Caenorhabditis elegans: one gene and its partners. The protein of the gene in region 3 interacts with the protein of the main gene of each other region in a pairwise test. Each region holds a gene or a part of one and is shown on either strand. Other genes may lie near its edges.

Evidence for each region.
Region 1: the proteins of goa-1 (region 3) and hasp-1 interact in a two-hybrid assay, tested with the Caenorhabditis elegans proteins (one study listed by BioGRID).
Region 2: the proteins of goa-1 (region 3) and nucb-1 interact in a two-hybrid assay, tested with the Caenorhabditis elegans proteins (one study listed by BioGRID).

Annotation. Positions count from the first base shown.
Region 1 is NC_003279.8:7,228,807-7,234,939, forward strand, and holds hasp-1 (non-specific serine/threonine protein kinase), read right to left. Parts: upstream 4,316-6,133; 5' UTR 4,315-4,315; coding exon 4,127-4,314; intron 4,079-4,126; coding exon 3,934-4,078; intron 3,835-3,933; coding exon 3,666-3,834; intron 3,622-3,665; coding exon 3,457-3,621; intron 3,409-3,456; coding exon 3,292-3,408; intron 3,243-3,291; coding exon 3,099-3,242; intron 2,993-3,098; coding exon 2,855-2,992; intron 2,700-2,854; coding exon 1,260-2,699; intron 1,206-1,259; coding exon 1,103-1,205; intron 1,056-1,102; coding exon 938-1,055; intron 894-937; coding exon 771-893; 3' UTR 528-770; downstream 1-527. Other genes in the region: C01H6.8 (Sensitive to high expression protein 9, mitochondrial), read left to right, coding at 23-237, 374-471; R06C7.2 (BEN domain-containing protein), read right to left, coding at 4,854-5,019, 5,067-5,254, 5,298-5,322, 5,373-5,695.
Region 2 is NC_003284.9:10,195,986-10,201,000, reverse strand, and holds nucb-1 (NUCB1-like N-terminal domain-containing protein), read right to left. Parts: upstream 3,296-5,015; 5' UTR 3,293-3,295; coding exon 3,179-3,292; intron 3,084-3,178; coding exon 3,003-3,083; intron 2,957-3,002; coding exon 2,849-2,956; intron 2,805-2,848; coding exon 2,688-2,804; intron 2,634-2,687; coding exon 2,304-2,633; intron 1,766-2,303; coding exon 1,399-1,765; intron 1,238-1,398; coding exon 1,155-1,237; intron 1,107-1,154; coding exon 1,014-1,106; intron 963-1,013; coding exon 852-962; 3' UTR 628-851; downstream 1-627.
Region 3 is NC_003279.8:7,520,570-7,527,340, forward strand, and holds goa-1 (Guanine nucleotide-binding protein G(o) subunit alpha), read left to right. Parts: upstream 1-1,546; 5' UTR 1,547-1,640; coding exon 1,641-1,801; intron 1,802-2,101; coding exon 2,102-2,243; intron 2,244-3,462; coding exon 3,463-3,623; intron 3,624-3,827; coding exon 3,828-3,956; intron 3,957-4,004; coding exon 4,005-4,134; intron 4,135-4,469; coding exon 4,470-4,623; intron 4,624-4,675; coding exon 4,676-4,749; intron 4,750-5,172; coding exon 5,173-5,286; 3' UTR 5,287-6,143; downstream 6,144-6,771. Other genes in the region: Zinc metalloproteinase nas-36, read left to right, coding at 6,738-6,771. UniProt on the Caenorhabditis elegans protein: Guanine nucleotide-binding proteins (G proteins) are involved as modulators or transducers in various transmembrane signaling systems. In the 1-cell embryo, probably together with gpa-16, controls nuclear rotation and spindle elongation during mitosis.

The DNA of each region.
Region 1 (6,133 bases), 290 kb from region 3:
TCAAATTAAAAATTTGTTTCAGAGAAAAACACGAAGACTATCTTCGAAAATTCGAAAGTCCAAGAACATGGTCAGAAACATTCAGTAAGTATACTGGTGACGCATTTGGACGTCTTTTATTCAATGGATTATGGGGAGCTATTGTACTTTTACTTCCACTTCTTATTCGACCATTTCAACGTAGATGGCTTACAGCTCTCCGTGGTGGAGATGGACCAACTATTGAAGAGGTTACTGGTATGTGCATGGCTACTGAATCATTAAAATTCAGATTAACTTATTTTAAAAACGCTAATTTCGAAGATCTGTAACCAAGCTTCAAATAATGCTTGTATTGAAAAAATTGAAACCTTTGATAAAATAATATTTTCAGAGAGTGATGATGATGGCATGAGAATATCAAATGAAGAAGTTCGTCAGATTCTGGATTCTGAGAAGAAACCGAAAAGGAAGGCAGTCAAAGCTGAATAAAAGTTACTGAGAAGAATTCCTAGGATTTTCAATTTTTTTAAATCTTGAACTTTCTCTTTCTACTAGTTATTTATTTTTTTGTCTCAAATTTTACTTTTCTGAACGTTTCTAAAAAATCGCACGGTTTTGTTTAAAATAATAAAAAAGATTTAATTATATATTAGAAACACTTTTAAACTGAAAATGAAAGACATCGTAAATACTAAAATTTCAAAAAATAAATATTTGACAGGAAATATGAAACGAGATCTAGATTATTGAGACCCGCGGATTTTTTTGATACTCATATTCTGAGCACATTATTGACGTGTCGTGGACATTCCGATCGGTCCCTCGTAAAAATCGCTGAAGAATTCCTCATTGGTCAACGATTCTCCACAAGAACCAAACTCGGCAAATCGGTCAAACAGTACTTTGAGCTCCTGAAATAGTTGTTTTCGATTATTTATCTTGATTTCGTGCCAACCATTCTCCGTTTCTCGGTAAGAAGTCCCTTGGGGCAGATTTTTGTATCAATCAGTCGATTTGCAATGTATACAATCCACATGAGATTCGTTCGCCTCGAAAATTTCTTCCAATTGCTCCTGAAATGTTTGATTTTTTTCTATTTCCTAAGGAATATATTACTCACTTGCAATTCTTTCTCATTTCTCGATATACTTCGAATTGTGGATCATCTTGTCCCTCGAAAATTGCTGGGTCGTTTTCCAAGTCCCAATAGACAGTTGTCGCACCTAAAATTAGAATTTTTTTTCAAAAATTGGCGATTTCTCTGAATATAGACAAACCTTTGGAAATTCGGCTCAATGTGAAATCAATAATATTGACTTTAATTCCATGGGTACTTAATGGTACTTTCTGCCCATGAACAGTGTAATAAAGCTCTTTCACGCCATTCCGATCAATCAGTACATTACCAAGATGTAAGTCTCTGTGTTCAAATTCGAGAGCTGCTTCTGCTGCATTCATTGAAAGAACGAGTTGGTGAATGATCGAAAAGAGTTCATTTTCACTTTCAAGGACAAAATCTTCCAGTGCGATTCCACCATTTGCCGAAACGAAAAGAATAAAGTTTTGATCTATTGAAGAATACACATCTGGCCTTGTATTCTCGGATTCTTTCAATTTGTCGTATGAATCCCAGGCACTCAACAATCCTTTAGGATACTTCCCCATCACAACTTCGGCAGAAATCATTTCGATGAAATTTGGAGTAGAATTCCAAGCATCTTCATCTCTCAAAGCCGATAGTTCCTTCATTACGATAACTTCAGGCAGAACGACATCGGATGTTTGCATTTCCTCAGAATGATATTCACCGAAATATTGCCGATTGCATCCATCTTTTTCAAATGGGACGATTTTGATAGCAACCGGTTTACCATCCCATATTGTTGAGAAGACTTCACCGTAGGCTCCTTCGCCGAGTTTCTTAACTCTTCGACCATCGAGAGCCGACTTCGGTAGACTATCCCACGTTTTTGATTCTTTTTGACCAACAACATGAAGGAGCTGCATCATCGGTGATGGATCGATTTCCGAAGTTAGATCTTCCAAGTAGAATGGGAGTATCGACGGATCTTCATTATGAATCGTCATACCAGTAGGAATATTTCTAGATTCTGCACGAGATTCTGAATATTGAGTTTTTCCAAACTCTTCTCCCATCGTGTCTTCTAAAAATTGTTGTAAGCTCATCTCCTCCATGGCACTATTTATGGAATCGTGACGAGATGAAGCTGCAGACATTACTGAAAGTCGTGAGACACGAGATTCTCTGTCACGTTGCCTTTGTTGGGGTTGAAGAGTTGTTCTTTTTCTTATTTCATTCTCTTTTTCAATTTCGAATAAAGCTTCTAGATCGTCTTGATCATCCTGCATCGTCATCACAGTGCTCATGCCTTGACACATTGTCTCCGGGCTCTTTGTTCTTTGTCGCTTTTTCGAATATTTGCTTTCTTCGAGATTTAGATCTGAGCATCGTTCATGCTCATCCTCCTCGTGCAATAGTTCCGTAACAGACGTTTCAGCTTTTCGGTTAAAAGTGACATCTTCAACATCTTCTGAGTCTGAGACCTGCTGGGTCATGATTTTTGAATTTTGGTGACTTTCGTTCCGGGACTCGATTGGCGTGGTTTTCAGTGTAGAATGTGAGAGACGATTTTCGGAGATTGCAGTTTCTTCAAGATCTTGCTGTGGTTGTTGTATACTTCCAGCCAATGATGATTCTACAAAGACAACGGATTAGGAATAAATATTTAATTGGTTTGTGAGAATTGTGAATACATTTTTTTGCACTGTGGAAAACTTTTTTAGGGCTTATAAAATTCTAAATAGAGTTTTAAAATAGAAAATATTAGAAAATGAGTAATATTGAAATTACCATGAACTCTTCCACTGTATTCCTCTTCGATCGGGATATTGTTGATGGTAGTCTCTTTTTGATCAGAATTTGCAGATTTTTGTGCGATTTGTTCTTCTTTTTTCGTGATATTCTCGCAAGAATCATTGAGGGAAACATCTGAAACAATTTTTTAAAATTAATTTTCAGTGTAACTATTGACTATGACTTTTTAAAATGAAAGACATAATCTATAGCAAAGTTATATAAATGTTTAAAAAAATACCAAATACTGGGAAGCTTTTGGGTCTTCTTCCAGCTGTCTGCTTTTCAATCGGAGTACTCGCATTCTGAGTTTTCGGCGAGAAGACAATGCTTCCGATCGTGTCGTCTAGTTGCTTCGCCGTTTTGTTCACACGAATCGGGGTGTCTAAAAAAGGTTAATGAATTTGAAAATAATTTCCAGTTTTCAAAAGTACAGCTATAAATAGCGAGACGCTCATCCTGACACTGGACATGTTTCGCCGGCACGATCATCTTCGATCTTTGAGGTGTGCCAAATACCCTGAACAATGATGGAGCTGCCAAAGATGCTTCTGAAATAATGAAAATTGCTAAATATCAAGTTGAAAAATGTGACTAACTTTTGTTTTGTCTCATATGATCTGCTAGAATTGAACCGCAAAATGATGCATAATTTGTTGGACACTGAACTTGGTTTGCTTTGGAATTCATCTCTGGAACCTGCTTAACTGGTTTTTTTTGTCTTTGTTCCATTTTCTTCGCGAAATCTATTTTCTTTGCTGGCTCTGAAATTATAATTAATAAACCTTTTGATGTTTTCTGGACTAACTATTCATCATTGGGAAATTTCCATCGTGATATTCTCGAATACCTGGCCGCCATGCTTCTTCAGGCTGCTTATCGTGAATAATATGTTTTCCATTTTCTATTTTTACTCTAATTCCATCATTATTGAAGACTTCGAGAGAAACATCATCCAATGAATCAAATGCTTCCTTCTGAAAAAATTAGATTATTTTCAAAACTCGAACATTCAAATGTTATTTTTGCATTCACTCCACGTTTACAACGTTAAAAGGAGTAAACAAAATACTAACGATTTTCTTAATTTTTTCTTCTTCATCAGCATCTGCATCAGGCACTTTAAATTGTCCAGCATCTTCCTCATCACTTGATATTTCGACATCACTGACATTTGGAGATGGTGGGAACACTGGTTTTGGCTTATTCTTCTTTTTGCTTCTGAAGAAATTTTAAATTTTGTTACTTTGAAAACAATTTTTAACATACGGTTTGAACTCTGGATTATCATTAAACGACTTAAACAGCGCCGGATTTTTTGAAAACTCATATTCAGGAAAGTCGATCGGGCATTCTGTGATAATTACGCTTGACAATTGACGATTTCGTCGGGCAAAATTATTTCGAGCTTTTTTCCCGGGCGATATTGGCACTTTTATTCGGGGTTTAGGAGGCATTCTGCAAAAAAAAGTGGAAATTGATTAAAACGTTATATAATGTAGCGCAAAATGCAAAGAGTTGGTTTGAAACAATAAATAACGCGCCGAAAATATAAATGAAAGTGCGCTCTACGGAGAACACTGGTATTCCATAACAAAAAAACAAAAAAAATAAAATTTCCATGTATTGGTTTTTTGAAAATTTTCCCAATCTAAAACTTTGTTCAAAACCAAAAAAGCGAAAGAAATATTATTTTGGTGATCCCGATTTTTCAAACTTAAAACTGAAATAAGTTTTATGATTTTTATGGGTTTAAGGAGACTACAACAACATTGCACGTACAACTTAACATAACAACAGGCTACATTCTATAATCTGCACTCAACAACAACAACAAAAAATCAATTTCCACGTAGGTCAAAACAATAATAGGGCAACGGGGGAAAATGAAATTAGCAGTTACACCACTTACTATTAGATACGCATTGTATGTAACGCAAAAACAAGAATGACAGGGTGGGATACAAATAAAAAATCATGGTATGCTTCTCACAAACTAGAAGTTGGAATTGAAAATACTACAATTTGATTGAATTATTAGTGCTGAAGCATTGACACGACGGTCGATCAGGAAGCCGGATTCCTTGTATTTGATGCTATCGGTAATCTGCTTCATACGAGCTGCCTCTGGTCCAGAAACTTCGGGAATTGCATCCGCAATGCTGCAAAAATATTTTAATATCAACTGTTGTCATTTTCTTAAACTCACATGGCTTCATTCCACAAATTACGACCACTCTTCGCGTACTCATTTGCAACATACATTGGTGTTGGAAAAAAAAGAAGTTGGAAGTCTGACAATTTGGTGAAGGTGGCACAATGGAAGTGAAATACACGTTCGAGCAATTCGTCATTTTCCGAGATTAAAAAAAAAAGGATTTGAAGAGGTAGATTTTCCTTGAATAAAAAAATCGTTATTGTCGATAACAGGAGAACTGACAAGTTTCAGTTCAAGGGAATTGATTCTAAAATAGAAAAAAAATGTTAAATTTAATCTCGTGCAGAAACTACTTACAAATTTCGAAGCTTCTTGTTCTCGCGTTCAGTATCTTGAAGCTTCTTTCGATTATTTTCCTCAAAATTGGCTAGCTTCGACAGTTGGCATGTGATTTCCTGTGTCCTTTTCTCTGTTTTCGCCGTTTGATCTTTTAGCATCACCGACTGAAATAAAACTTTTTCTTCTGCATGAAACAAGTGCAAAAAATTACCTTTTATTTTTCGTTTTCCTAATAAATTGAATTCTGAATACTTTAAAAACCAATAATTCTGGTGAGACGTTTGAGAATATCTGTACTTTTTACAGTCACGTCGCGAATCGGGATGTACAGCGCTGAACATTTTCCGCACATTTTCGGCAGATTTCCATCTATTTTAAGAGTTTTCGTAGGGACCTTACACAAATAACAAAATCCAGCAGTCTGCGTTGTTCGACAAGATGTGAGAGCAGGTGGTGATGTAAAATTGCCTTCTTGCTGGCGGGAATCCACATAGGTTGCAAACGATTAACTTCATTGCGATCTAAGCTACAAGCCTGAATTAGATGAGTATCATTCAAAATAAAATTAACAACTAAGTCACTTTTTAAAACATGGAAAGCACACAATACTTGTAAAAAGGAGAAAAATAAGGCTGTACAGCAAAAATAAATTCAAGGAGCGTTCGTTTTAACACTGAGTGGGTCTCGCAGCGATCTCCATTCTTATGTACTGTATGCGTTGTCATTTAAATTTTTTAGGACGAAGAAATTGTTTTTTGTATTCTTTTCCGGTTTGTGAC
Region 2 (5,015 bases), on a different chromosome or scaffold from region 3:
GCACACCTGTATTGACTGAACAATATAGAATAGTTTTGGCTATTCCGTTAGGAGATGTTAATGCATTATGAAAGATTTATTTTTTTCAAGACCAAACGAAGGCATGATTCTTTTAACTTTCCTAAGAGCTTCATCTTCATGCGTTAACTGTGCTAGAAAACAAGAAGTTATGGTTATGAGAAAATTACAGGACGAGTGATATTGTTTTTGAAATATAAAACAGTGAGAATCAAGATTTTCAATAAAACTGTGCTCGCGGGCGATATTCTAACTACAAAATAACTATTTCCAAACGCAAATGTATCATCTTAACCAATGGAGATTCTTGTTTTTGCTTCTTGAAATTAATAATTTCGGTTCAGTGCTGAAACTTTTAAGCTGAAACAAATTTTGACTTTTTTCACGATTGCCGTGACGGAACCAATTAAAATTAGGTTTTTCTTTATATGTTCCGAATGTTTAACTCTTTCACTCGATTCAAATTTTCCAATTATTGAATTGAAGTTTTACGCTGTCTATTCGCAAATCTGCAAAGCTCTCCAAAAGTTTTTTTTTCTTTTTCGCACTGCAATCCTAGATTGGTGAGGTAGTGTTTTTTATTTACTTATTTTCATATATAAAAATATTCTGATAAATGCGTTCATTTCATAATATGCAGTTTTTGTCCGAATTGGGATTAACAGGTCCAATCGACAAAGGAATAGACAGACAAGAAATGGCCAATGACAATTCTGAATGTTTGAAAACCTATTCAAAAGTATACAACCCGGGTTTCGACATTAAGTTACATATTATCTCAACCAAAAGCATTAGCATTTTAAAACAAATTAGAAATCTACAACTGATATAAATTAAATTCCGTATGTTGGATCTTTAGTGTGATCTTGGATGGGTTCATGGTGCACAGGGGGCAAATTTTGTTGAGGTGGTTGTTGCGGTGGTTGCTGTGGAGGTTGTTGTTGCTGTAAAAAGGGTAGTAATTATTGGATTTTCTGAATGTCAGTTTTTGGTACCTGTTGCACAGGCGGTTGCGCATTTTGAACAGGTGGTGGATTTGCATTCACCGGTTGAATTGGCTGTTGAGCAGGGTGAACTTGTTGCTGAGCCTGTGAAAATGTCAAATGATTACATTACTATGTTAAGTAACTTTATACCTGTGGTGGTTGTTGGACAGCTTCTTGCGGATGTTGTTGTTCTGAAGCAACTTGTTGTGGGTCATATGCATGTTCTCCCCATCCTAGTTAAAAATCAAAATTCTAAGTAAGGCATCACTATTGCATTTTTAAAATGTTTTAATAGCTTTATAATTTGAAATCAAAGTAAGCCTGCGTGTTAGTAAAAACTCAGAAAAGTGTTAAATGGAACAAAATGCCTGCTAGGATTAAACCCCAAACTAACCTTGTTTTTGTGCATATTCTCTTTCAAACTGCTGGAGTTCTTCATCCGTATACACTTTCTTCTGTCCCAGATCTTCCCATTCTTCTTGCTTTGGTGGATTTGAATTCTGATTGTCAGAATCATTCAAGAACTCTTGCATAGAGATCATGCGATCCTGATTAACATCAATTTGCTTCATAACGTGCTCTCTCATACGGTACATCTCCTCAGCTCTTTCTTTCATGTCGTCGTCTGGGTTGGTTTCGTTATACATTTTTTCAAGCTCTAGTTGGAAAAGAGATTCCAGCTCAAAATCATTCCAGAAACCATCTCCGTTCAGGTCGTGAAGTGCAAAAAAGGTTTTTGGATCGTATTGATCTTTTTCAAGCTGAAAATTGAAGTTATTGGAGTTTATTTTATTGAGATAAAAATGGTTTTTAAAATAATGAAGTTATAGCTAAATTCCAAATAAAAAACATTATTAAAACCTATTATAAAAGTACGTTTTTCAGTTGTTCAGTGAAAAATTAATAGAAAATATTTAACTTTATACTAAAACACAGATTTATTTTGCTTTCAAACATTATGTTCATTTTATTATTATATAAAAAATCTCTTTGCTCCCTTGTTACACTGTCACTTTTCAAGATAATGACTATGCTGTAAATACTATCATTTTTAGCGATCAGAACCATTATTTTTGGCTGCAATCTTATCTTTGTTGCAAATCTTTTCCAATGTATAAACACTTGAACCAGAATCGATAATGTTCTTTTTCTTCATAAAAAAAAAACCTATACAGCGAAATCAAGTCTACTGTCAAAATCTATATAGATTCGACAAAAGCTGATTGAGTTCAAACCAAGTTGTATTATTTAAACAACTGTTCAGTCGTTGTCGTAAATCTGAGTAAAATTAGAACCTACATGATCACTTTCTTCCCAAACTTCTTGAAGCTGATCTTTGCTTCCTGGGTGTTTCAGCTTTTCATGATCATTGTGTCTTTTCAGCGACTCTTCATGTTCAGACTTTGCTTTTTCTCGTTCTTCTGGAGTCATTTGAGCCAACTTGTGATCTTCTTCAGCTTGTTTCTTCATTTCGTATTGTTTGAAGTCATCTTTTCTTTGCTCGTCCATGACGTTCATATCGGCCACCGTCTTCTGTATCAGCTTTCTCAAATCTTCCTTGTGAAATTTTTCAAGCTCTTGTACATCAAGATGGTCCGGCATTTTGATGTTGTGTGCGCCTCCATCAGCCTTAAAATTTAATAATATTAATTTTTATAAATGTATCAAATAAATAGTAAATACTTTGATTTGCTCTTCAATTTGCTTCCTGAGTCTTTCGATTTCATCAAACTTGGCTTTGTGCAATTTGTCAAAAACTTCCTGAGGAAGGTCGTCAATGTGATCGGCGATGTTTCCTGCCTGTAATATATAATCTCAGATAAAGATTATGTGCAATAAAAAACCTTGATGTCCTCTTCTTTCATGTTCTTCAGACGTTCATTAAATTTTGGGTCGCTTTCAAGAATCTTCACTACTTCTTCCAAATATTTTGTGTAGGCGAATTGATATCCCTGCAAGTAGTTTATATGTTTATCTCAAAATTGTTTCAAAACATACTGGGTGCCGACCATCATATTCTCCTTGTTGCTCTGTGTTTTGAGCTTGCCCTTGTCCTTGTTGTGCGTCTCCAGTGGCGGGCTAAAAATATTTTAATTTGTGATTGAATATTTCTGACGAAATTTAGTGGTAGCATTTATTTTTGGCTAAACATTGTTAATAAATGAAAGAAATACCTGGTGTTGAACATTATCCTGAGCCTGGGCCTGCTCTGCTTGTTGTCTCAATGGCGGGGGACACACGACATCGTTGACTAGTAGCACAGCAATTATGACTAGAGGCTTAATCATTATCTGGAAATAAAAACAGTTATACTTCTCAATGTCGGTAAATATAGAAAACTTAATAAAAACAATAGGAGTGCAAGACAAATGGGGGAAATGTGGTTTATTAAAAAAAGCAAATTATGGAAAAAAAGTAAAAATATTGAAGATATCATTTGACAAATTCCATATTTGCATCGAACACGTCACCTTACTATCGTAAATCGACACCAATAAACAAAGAGCGCGAAGTGTCGTAGTATTTCCTTTTTTTCTCTGCTAACACTCTGTATTGCGGAAAGAGAGGAGAATAGAGAAGGGTTGGGGCACATTGAATGGGAAAGAGAATCAAAACATATATTTAGCGTGTCATTTGATTGGCTTAGAAAAGATGTTCGATTGGTAACAATTGGTGATAACTCGACACAAATGATCAGTCAGCAACTAGAGAATAGTTCGAAGTTTTGAGAGATCCCGGAGGGATAATTGATGAAACAGCACAATTTTATGCGTAGCGTTGCATTCAACAAATTCGAAACAAACACATGTCAATTTCGTTGTTCGCTTTTTGCCTCGGAACTGTCATTTTTGCTGACTGATACGGCTAGTTTCCTTTTTCAGTTTAGTAACTAGCAATAAATGAAACTGTACGATTCTGCTTGCTGCATTTTTTCAAATAGTTACCCGTTTTTTAAAACAATTTTTTAGTTTCTTAAAATATTTCTGAAAGTAAATGTAAAAATGTTTAATTACAAATTCTCCGATTTTTTTTAACGCAATGTGACAACATTTAGTTTTTTCTAGAATTTTAAAATGTTTATAATTTCAAATAAACTTGCTTGTAACTATTGGGTCGGTTTGTGAAACAGTAAGAATTTTAAGCCCATAATGAGTGGTAACAATCATTTCAAGAAAATTATTTCTGAACGTTTTTAAGTAGCTTTTATGGAATCTTCAAAATAACTAACTACCGTTGTTCTTTTTCTATTTCATCTTGACCACTTTTCTCTTGGTTCTCTCAGCTCCAAAACACTGTAAGCTTAAGGTTCAAAACTAGAAATCATCATTTCACTAAAACTCTGAAATGAAAATTCATATTTTGACGTTCAACCGCGCTGATTTGAAAACAGTCATTAAGTTTGGAAACCAATTGAAATTCGCGTGCAACTGCTTAGGCACACTAGAAAATAACAGTGTTAAAAATTGTTATGCAAAATGCTCAATTATGTTACTTAATGAAAAATCCATTTAAATTTAAAAAAAAAATCGTTTTTCTTCGAAAGTATTCTAAAGCATATTTTTATTAAAATTGAAATTTAGACCCTAGGATCAATACTGTTTAGACAAAATCCGTATGATAAGAATGCAAGTTTCAACGTACTACTATTTAAACAGACAAAGTTTTATGTAATTGAAAAACCTACGATTTGTTAAAAGTAAAACTATTAGAAAAACAAGAGTTAGGTTTTTCTGTAGGTAACAATTTTGCGCACTTGTTTAAGAGAGCCGTTCATATACATATGAAATATCGTATTATTTTTTTTCGGGCTCTAGTTTGCTTCGAAAACACTTCCCAATGTGTCAAAAATCTTTTTTAATTTGCAATGACGTGTTCGACTTTTTTTCTAAATAGTCAATCTCTTCTTCTTTTCATTTAGTCATGTCATTTTTTTGTTGCATGATGCTTATTTGCTAAACTTATAATTTATTTCAACAAAGGTCGACATGACTTCCTCACTGGTCCAAGCGA
Region 3 (6,771 bases):
CAAACTAATAGTAAAATATTTCAAGTTAAGGTTTTATTTCTGCGTAATCCACTATTTTTATCTTTTCTTGATTTTCCCTTTCATACTTTCACTCATTGTTTATTATTCGTGTCCCCTCGTCTCCGTTCTTCGACTGGAAAATCTGTAAGAGGGTCCAGCTGTGGTCTCCGGTGTACGGCACTCAACATGTCTCCTTGTGTATCGCTGCCAGTGCTGTCTATGCATTTATTATGAAAATAAAACAATTAGGCACATGGAAAAAGGCTTTATGTTCCTATAGCTTTTGGTTCACGGAGACCTAGTCTACGGCGCTGTTCGTCGATTGAAACTTAAATTTTAAATAGTAGTTTTCGGCATCATAAAGTCGCTATTAAGGCTGTCAGACAATTTAAGTTTTTATGCAATATTTTAAGATTTTAACTCAAACGCCGCCTGTGATCAGATAACTCCGACTACTAGAATATCTGCATGGTTCTGATCCTCATCATGATTTAAAATTCGAATCGACACGCAACGCAAGTAGCCGCCGACCCTCGTCTTCACTGTCGCTGCCCCCTGAACGATGGGGCTCTCCTGTTTCGGCTACTGGCTGCCCCTGGCTACTACTACCCCTTTTCTGCTATGCCCATGACCTTCTTCTTCTCCTCGCCCTCGCTTTTCTCTCTATTTTCCTTCTCCAACCCCACCATCCTGCTCGCCGTCGTCGTCGCAGTTGCTCCCCCATTTTTTTGCGCCACGCAAAAAAAAAAGAAAAAGAAGGACGACGACGACAACGAAGAAAGAGAAGAAGCAGAAGCAGTGAAAACGGAAAAATCGAAGACGTTGTCGTCTATTTTTTTGCTTCTGTTCTTTACAAATTATCTATTTTCTAACCTTTTTGTGGAGAACGTTGACCCGGCCGGAAGCATGTAGTAAAATTTCTTTTTGGTTGATTTTGCAAAACATGTTTATCCTCGATTAGCTGATTTTCATTTCGATTTCAGATTAAACCAATTGATTCTAAAATAGAAAACTGAATGAACAATCTCTGATCATTCTTGAAATATAACTAATTTAGTTCATCTGCAAGTTTAACAGTTAGTACATTTTTCTGTCGTAGATCAAGAAAAATTTCACCTTCGAATTTAGTACTCAAACATTGCAGGGATTCGAACATGCAAACGTTTTAACAATTTCCCCACTGACGCTGCTCCAAAGAAATCTGAGAGAACGTCTGATTTGAAAAAATGTTTGCGCAAAAATTAGAAAGGCCCTGTTTAGAGTATTGTAGGTTGCATATTTCTACCACTAAAATAAATTAATGAAAAAGTAAGAAAATTCAATAAAAATTAGTCGCCTTGACGACGTGCACCCTCTATTTTCCTCATTCGTCATTTTTGTCATCTCCTCTCATCTCATCTATATTCTGCCCTCGATCCCTCATCCATCCATTTCTTCATTCTCCATCTCACTGTGTCCCTTTTTTTCGCTCGATTGCTTTTTCTTTTCCTTATTTTTTAACCCGCTATAACTTACTTCGATTCTAATTTTTTCAATTTATTTTCAGCGCTGAGCTGCACCACATACAGTGAGTGAGTAGAGGATATCAAGTGGAGACCGCTACCGGGGCATAGGGTCCACCGTTCATCAACTCTAGCGCCATGGGTTGTACCATGTCACAGGAAGAGCGTGCCGCTCTTGAAAGATCACGAATGATTGAGAAAAATCTTAAAGAAGACGGCATGCAAGCGGCAAAAGATATCAAACTGCTGCTACTTGGTGCAGGAGAATCAGGAAAATCGACTATTGTAAAACAGATGAAGTGAGATTTTTTTAAATTTCTAAATAACAAATTAAAACATATATAAACGAAAATGGTAGAAATAAATGGTGAAAAACTCAGAATTTATCATCCGAAATTGTCCCATAGAACGTCCGAATATTTCGTTTGATCGATTTGAATTATTAAAAATTAAATTTAATTAAAAAGTAAATAAATCACTAGAGACTGCTATTAATTTTTTTTTCGTATTCAAAATTTGAAAAGTAAGTTCAACTCTCTAATAGTTTAAATTTGAAACACGCCTTTACAAATTTTCACATTTTAATGTTTTTTTTTCAGAATTATTCACGAATCGGGATTCACAGCAGAAGACTACAAACAGTACAAGCCGGTTGTCTACAGTAACACGGTTCAATCATTGGTCGCTATTTTGCGAGCCATGAGCAACTTAGGCGTTTCATTTGGTTCGGCTGACAGAGAGGTGAGTATTATGACAATTTTTCTGCAAAAAAATCGAAATTATTTAAAAATGAGGCACGAAATTTTCAAGTGATCCCTTAATGGAAAAAATTAATTTCGGTCCATTAGCTGCTAATGATTAGCACGACAAAAACGTTACTTCAAAATAAAACTTATTTTTCTGAAATTTACTTGCGATTGTGATCTATAGATAGAACATAAACATTATTCAATTAAAAATGTTTCCCGTGTTCTGAAGAGTAATTCGAAATATTTGGAAAATAACGAATAAAAAGATACGAAAAACGAAGAGCATGAGAATAAATGACATAATCTGTTGTATTCATTGGCTCGGTATCTTTTTCTCTCTCTCTCTCTTACATTCTGCAACTCTTATTGCCTCTCGTTGCACTCAATGCATCCCGCTACCACACCACCGTCCCATTCCAATTCCCTTGTGAGTTTCGATGCGCGACGCGCCACCGACAAACTCGTAGACTCGACCTAGTATTCCAAAAATATATGTTCGAGGCAGGAATTTTGAATTGGGATTTGGAAGGGATTCTAGAATGTTGGAAAATCTTTGGGAACACATTTTCGATTGATGTGGCAAATCATCAGAAAAAAATGTTCCCAACGTTTTGGAGAAGATTTTACATCATTCAGACGTCAAATGTTTTGTTATTGCGTCACAAATGCAATTCCCGGTTTTTATACGATGAATTTGTGTTCAATGCAAGAAGGTGTGCGCCTTTAAAGAGTACTGTAATGTTTAATTTTCGTTGCAGCCAAATTTTTAATCGATTTTTCATAGTTATTCAATAAAAACGTATTCATTTATTTTAAAAATTAATAAATAACAATCAAATATTTACGAATTAACTTTAACAAATCGTAAGAATAAATATAAACATATTTTAGCATTCAACAAAAATTTGTCGTGTCGAAAACGTAAAAAAGTTTTTGATGTGAAGATCGAACATTTATCATTCAATTTTATATATATCCTTAATCTTAACAAGACGTGACTATGCATGTCACCGAATATAAAGTAATTTGAGATAATTGAAATAAAATGACCATTTTGAGACCTTTGGACAAACCATTGGAAGAGAGCCAAGGATCCAATTTCAATTTTGTGAGAAAATTGGGAAAATGATGTACATGACATGCTGTGAATTATTCAATTTTCATCAGCGAATAAAGTTATCGAGAACTAAAATCAAAGTTTTTTGTTTCAGGTAGATGCAAAATTAGTGATGGATGTGGTGGCACGAATGGAGGACACAGAGCCATTCTCAGAAGAATTGCTCAGTTCAATGAAACGGTTGTGGGGAGACGCAGGTGTACAGGATTGTTTCTCAAGGAGTAACGAGTATCAATTGAATGATTCAGCCAAATAGTAAGTTTAATTCAAAATTTTGAAAAATTATTTCAAGTAACTATTATCTCCATAACAACCAAAGTGGTTTTTTTCATAAATTGAGAAGAGTTTCCTAAATTTCGAATCAATATGTTACATGTCAAGCTCATTTTCAATATTACCAAATTTAAAATTTCAAGAAATTTCGCAGTTTATAGAATTTATTAATAACCATTTTTTCAGTTTCCTTGACGACCTGGAAAGGTTAGGAGAGGCAATATATCAACCAACTGAGCAAGATATTCTCCGAACTCGTGTCAAAACAACTGGTATTGTTGAAGTTCACTTCACATTCAAAAATCTCAATTTCAAGTGAGTTTTCTTGATAAAAAAATAATATTTAATAATGAATATTTACAGATTGTTCGATGTGGGAGGTCAAAGATCAGAAAGGAAGAAGTGGATTCATTGTTTCGAAGATGTTACTGCTATTATTTTCTGTGTTGCCATGTCAGAGTATGATCAAGTGTTGCACGAAGATGAGACAACAGTGAGAAATTGATATTTTAATATTTTAGAAGCTTTTTTGTTGAAAAAGACAGACAAAATTTAAAATTAGAAAATATCGTTTAGAGACTTTATGTTTTTTAAACGATTTTCCAATCATGACTTGGTCGTTCGAGTCGACTTTTACAATAATAAAAATAATGTTCTTCTTCTAATTTTTCTAACGAAAATGCAACTTCTGACCGACAATATATTTGCCAAAATAAAAGAAACATGATAATTTAAAAATTACTCGTTTTTTTAAATTATATTCTATTATTCATTCTATTATTCATTATTCATTATTATTCATTATTGTTCCTTATTTCATATTTTCAGAACCGAATGCACGAATCGCTGAAGCTGTTCGATTCGATCTGTAATAACAAATGGTTCACAGATACATCGATTATTCTGTTCCTGAACAAGAAGGATCTGTTTGAAGAGAAAATCAAGAAAAGCCCGTTAACGATCTGCTTCCCAGAATATTCAGGTAAAATTTAATTGAATTTCCAATAAATGTTTTAATTTCTTAATCCCTGTAGGACGACAAGACTACCACGAGGCATCTGCGTATATTCAAGCACAATTTGAGGCTAAAAACAAATCAGCGAATAAGGTAAGAAAAAAAAGTCTAAAAATCAATGAAATCAGAGAAGCCTATGGGGTTCCTGTTCCACGAAAAGTATAAATTGTTTTTCTAGAATAATATTTTTTATAATTTTTAATATCTAGTTAATTTTGGAAATTTTTTGAAGTGTGAAACATTTATAAAATTTAATTTTTTTTAAGTAAACACGAATATTCAATTGTTTTGTTAATCTGTCACAGAAAATGATAACCAGAAAAATCTCTGAATCGTATTCAATTAAGTAATTACAACCAAAATTTGAGATTTTTACTATCTCGACATTTTCTCCGATATTGCGGTTACTGTAGTTTCATATTTGAATAGGTAGTTAAAGTTGAGTGTTGAGGTAATAATTTTAATTCATTATTTCATTTAATTTGTTTTCTTTTGAAATAATATTCTTATTTGCAGGAAATCTATTGCCACATGACATGTGCCACAGACACAACTAACATTCAATTTGTGTTTGACGCTGTCACCGATGTGATTATTGCCAATAATCTTCGTGGATGCGGCTTGTATTAAGCTGTCGTCTTCGCCGCCCTCTTCTACCATTCTGTGTGTATCTTTGCTTACTTTTCCCAAATTTTTAAAGATTCGTTATTTTTCTCATCCCCCGAGTATGCATCTATAATTTGAGAGCTTTACATGTACATTATGGTTGCAACTGTTTTTATTTTTTGGAAAAAGTTGCAATTTCAGATGTATATGGGCTTTTTTTTAACCTCTGATTCATTCATAATAGTCTCACCGCCCTTCTTTTTCTCAACTAGGATCCCTAATTTTTCTGTCACAAAAATAACACATAAAACTCACAATTATTTATTTTTTCCTTTTTTCTTATTTATTATATATTGTCATTATTCACGCCACATCCCCCGCCCTTCTCACTCCCGTGTAGCCTTATCGCTATTTGAAAACAAGAAAACTTTAAAAATCTAAATTCAGTTGGAATTCGTCCCGTTCCGCCACACACCCCCTAAAGGTCTCTTCACCCCGAATTATAAAGCTTTGCCCCTTTTTTCTTTCTTTTCTCCCATTTTTCAACACACCTAGTCACTGTTAACAGTTAAATAATGGCAGCTTTTGTCTATGTTTAAAGATTTTATTTTTAATTTTTGGTATTTTTCTATTTCTACTCTTCCCCTCTCATCCATTTTCCCTCCTTTTCCTAAAACCACACTTCCAAACTCATTTTTCTCGCTGTTTTCCTCTCCCTATTTTTTCTTTTACTTTTTCATTTTTCCATCTTTTTTCTTTAAAATCGTCTCGCTTTTTGTCGGTGAGCACGATGGTGTGCAGTAGACGATATTTTCCGCATTGGTTTATTGTCGACTGCACCCACTCATTGATATCTTATTTGATATAAACGACATCCTCAACTAGTTTTCGTACAAATTCAGTTTGGTGGATACAAAAGTACAGTGATTTAGTTTGCATGGGAAATTGCATATGGGACTACCGTACATATGTCTAGATAAAAAACCAATATTTTTAAAACTCGATAAAATTTAAATTTCCCTGAACTCCTTTTTGAATAACCACCAAGAAGTTTAAACCTCGCGCGCGAATTTAAAATTTAATTGTTATTTTGAATTATTAGCATGGTTTAAAACAATTTCCCCATCATTACCAAGATTTAAAAAAATCAAAACCTATTGTTATAACATCAAAAGTGGGAAACCCCAAAAATAGTCTTCAGATAATGATTTTCTCAAGATAAATGACCCGGAAGTGAGTGTTACTAAAGCGAAAAACCTTCCAAATGTCAAGTTTCATTAAATTTTACAACAATCATCTAAAAATGTGTCCTTTTTGTCACACAATTGTGTTCATTTTCCATCAGCTTTTCCCTCCTCCTCCCACTATGTGATAAACTTTCACTTTTTCTGTTCATTTGCCAAAAAAAAGAGAATATCTCATACACTTTCCTATCTTCTCTTTTAATTGAACTATTATTCTATTTCATGAGAAATATGAGATTATGTCATTCAATTATTTTATTTAATT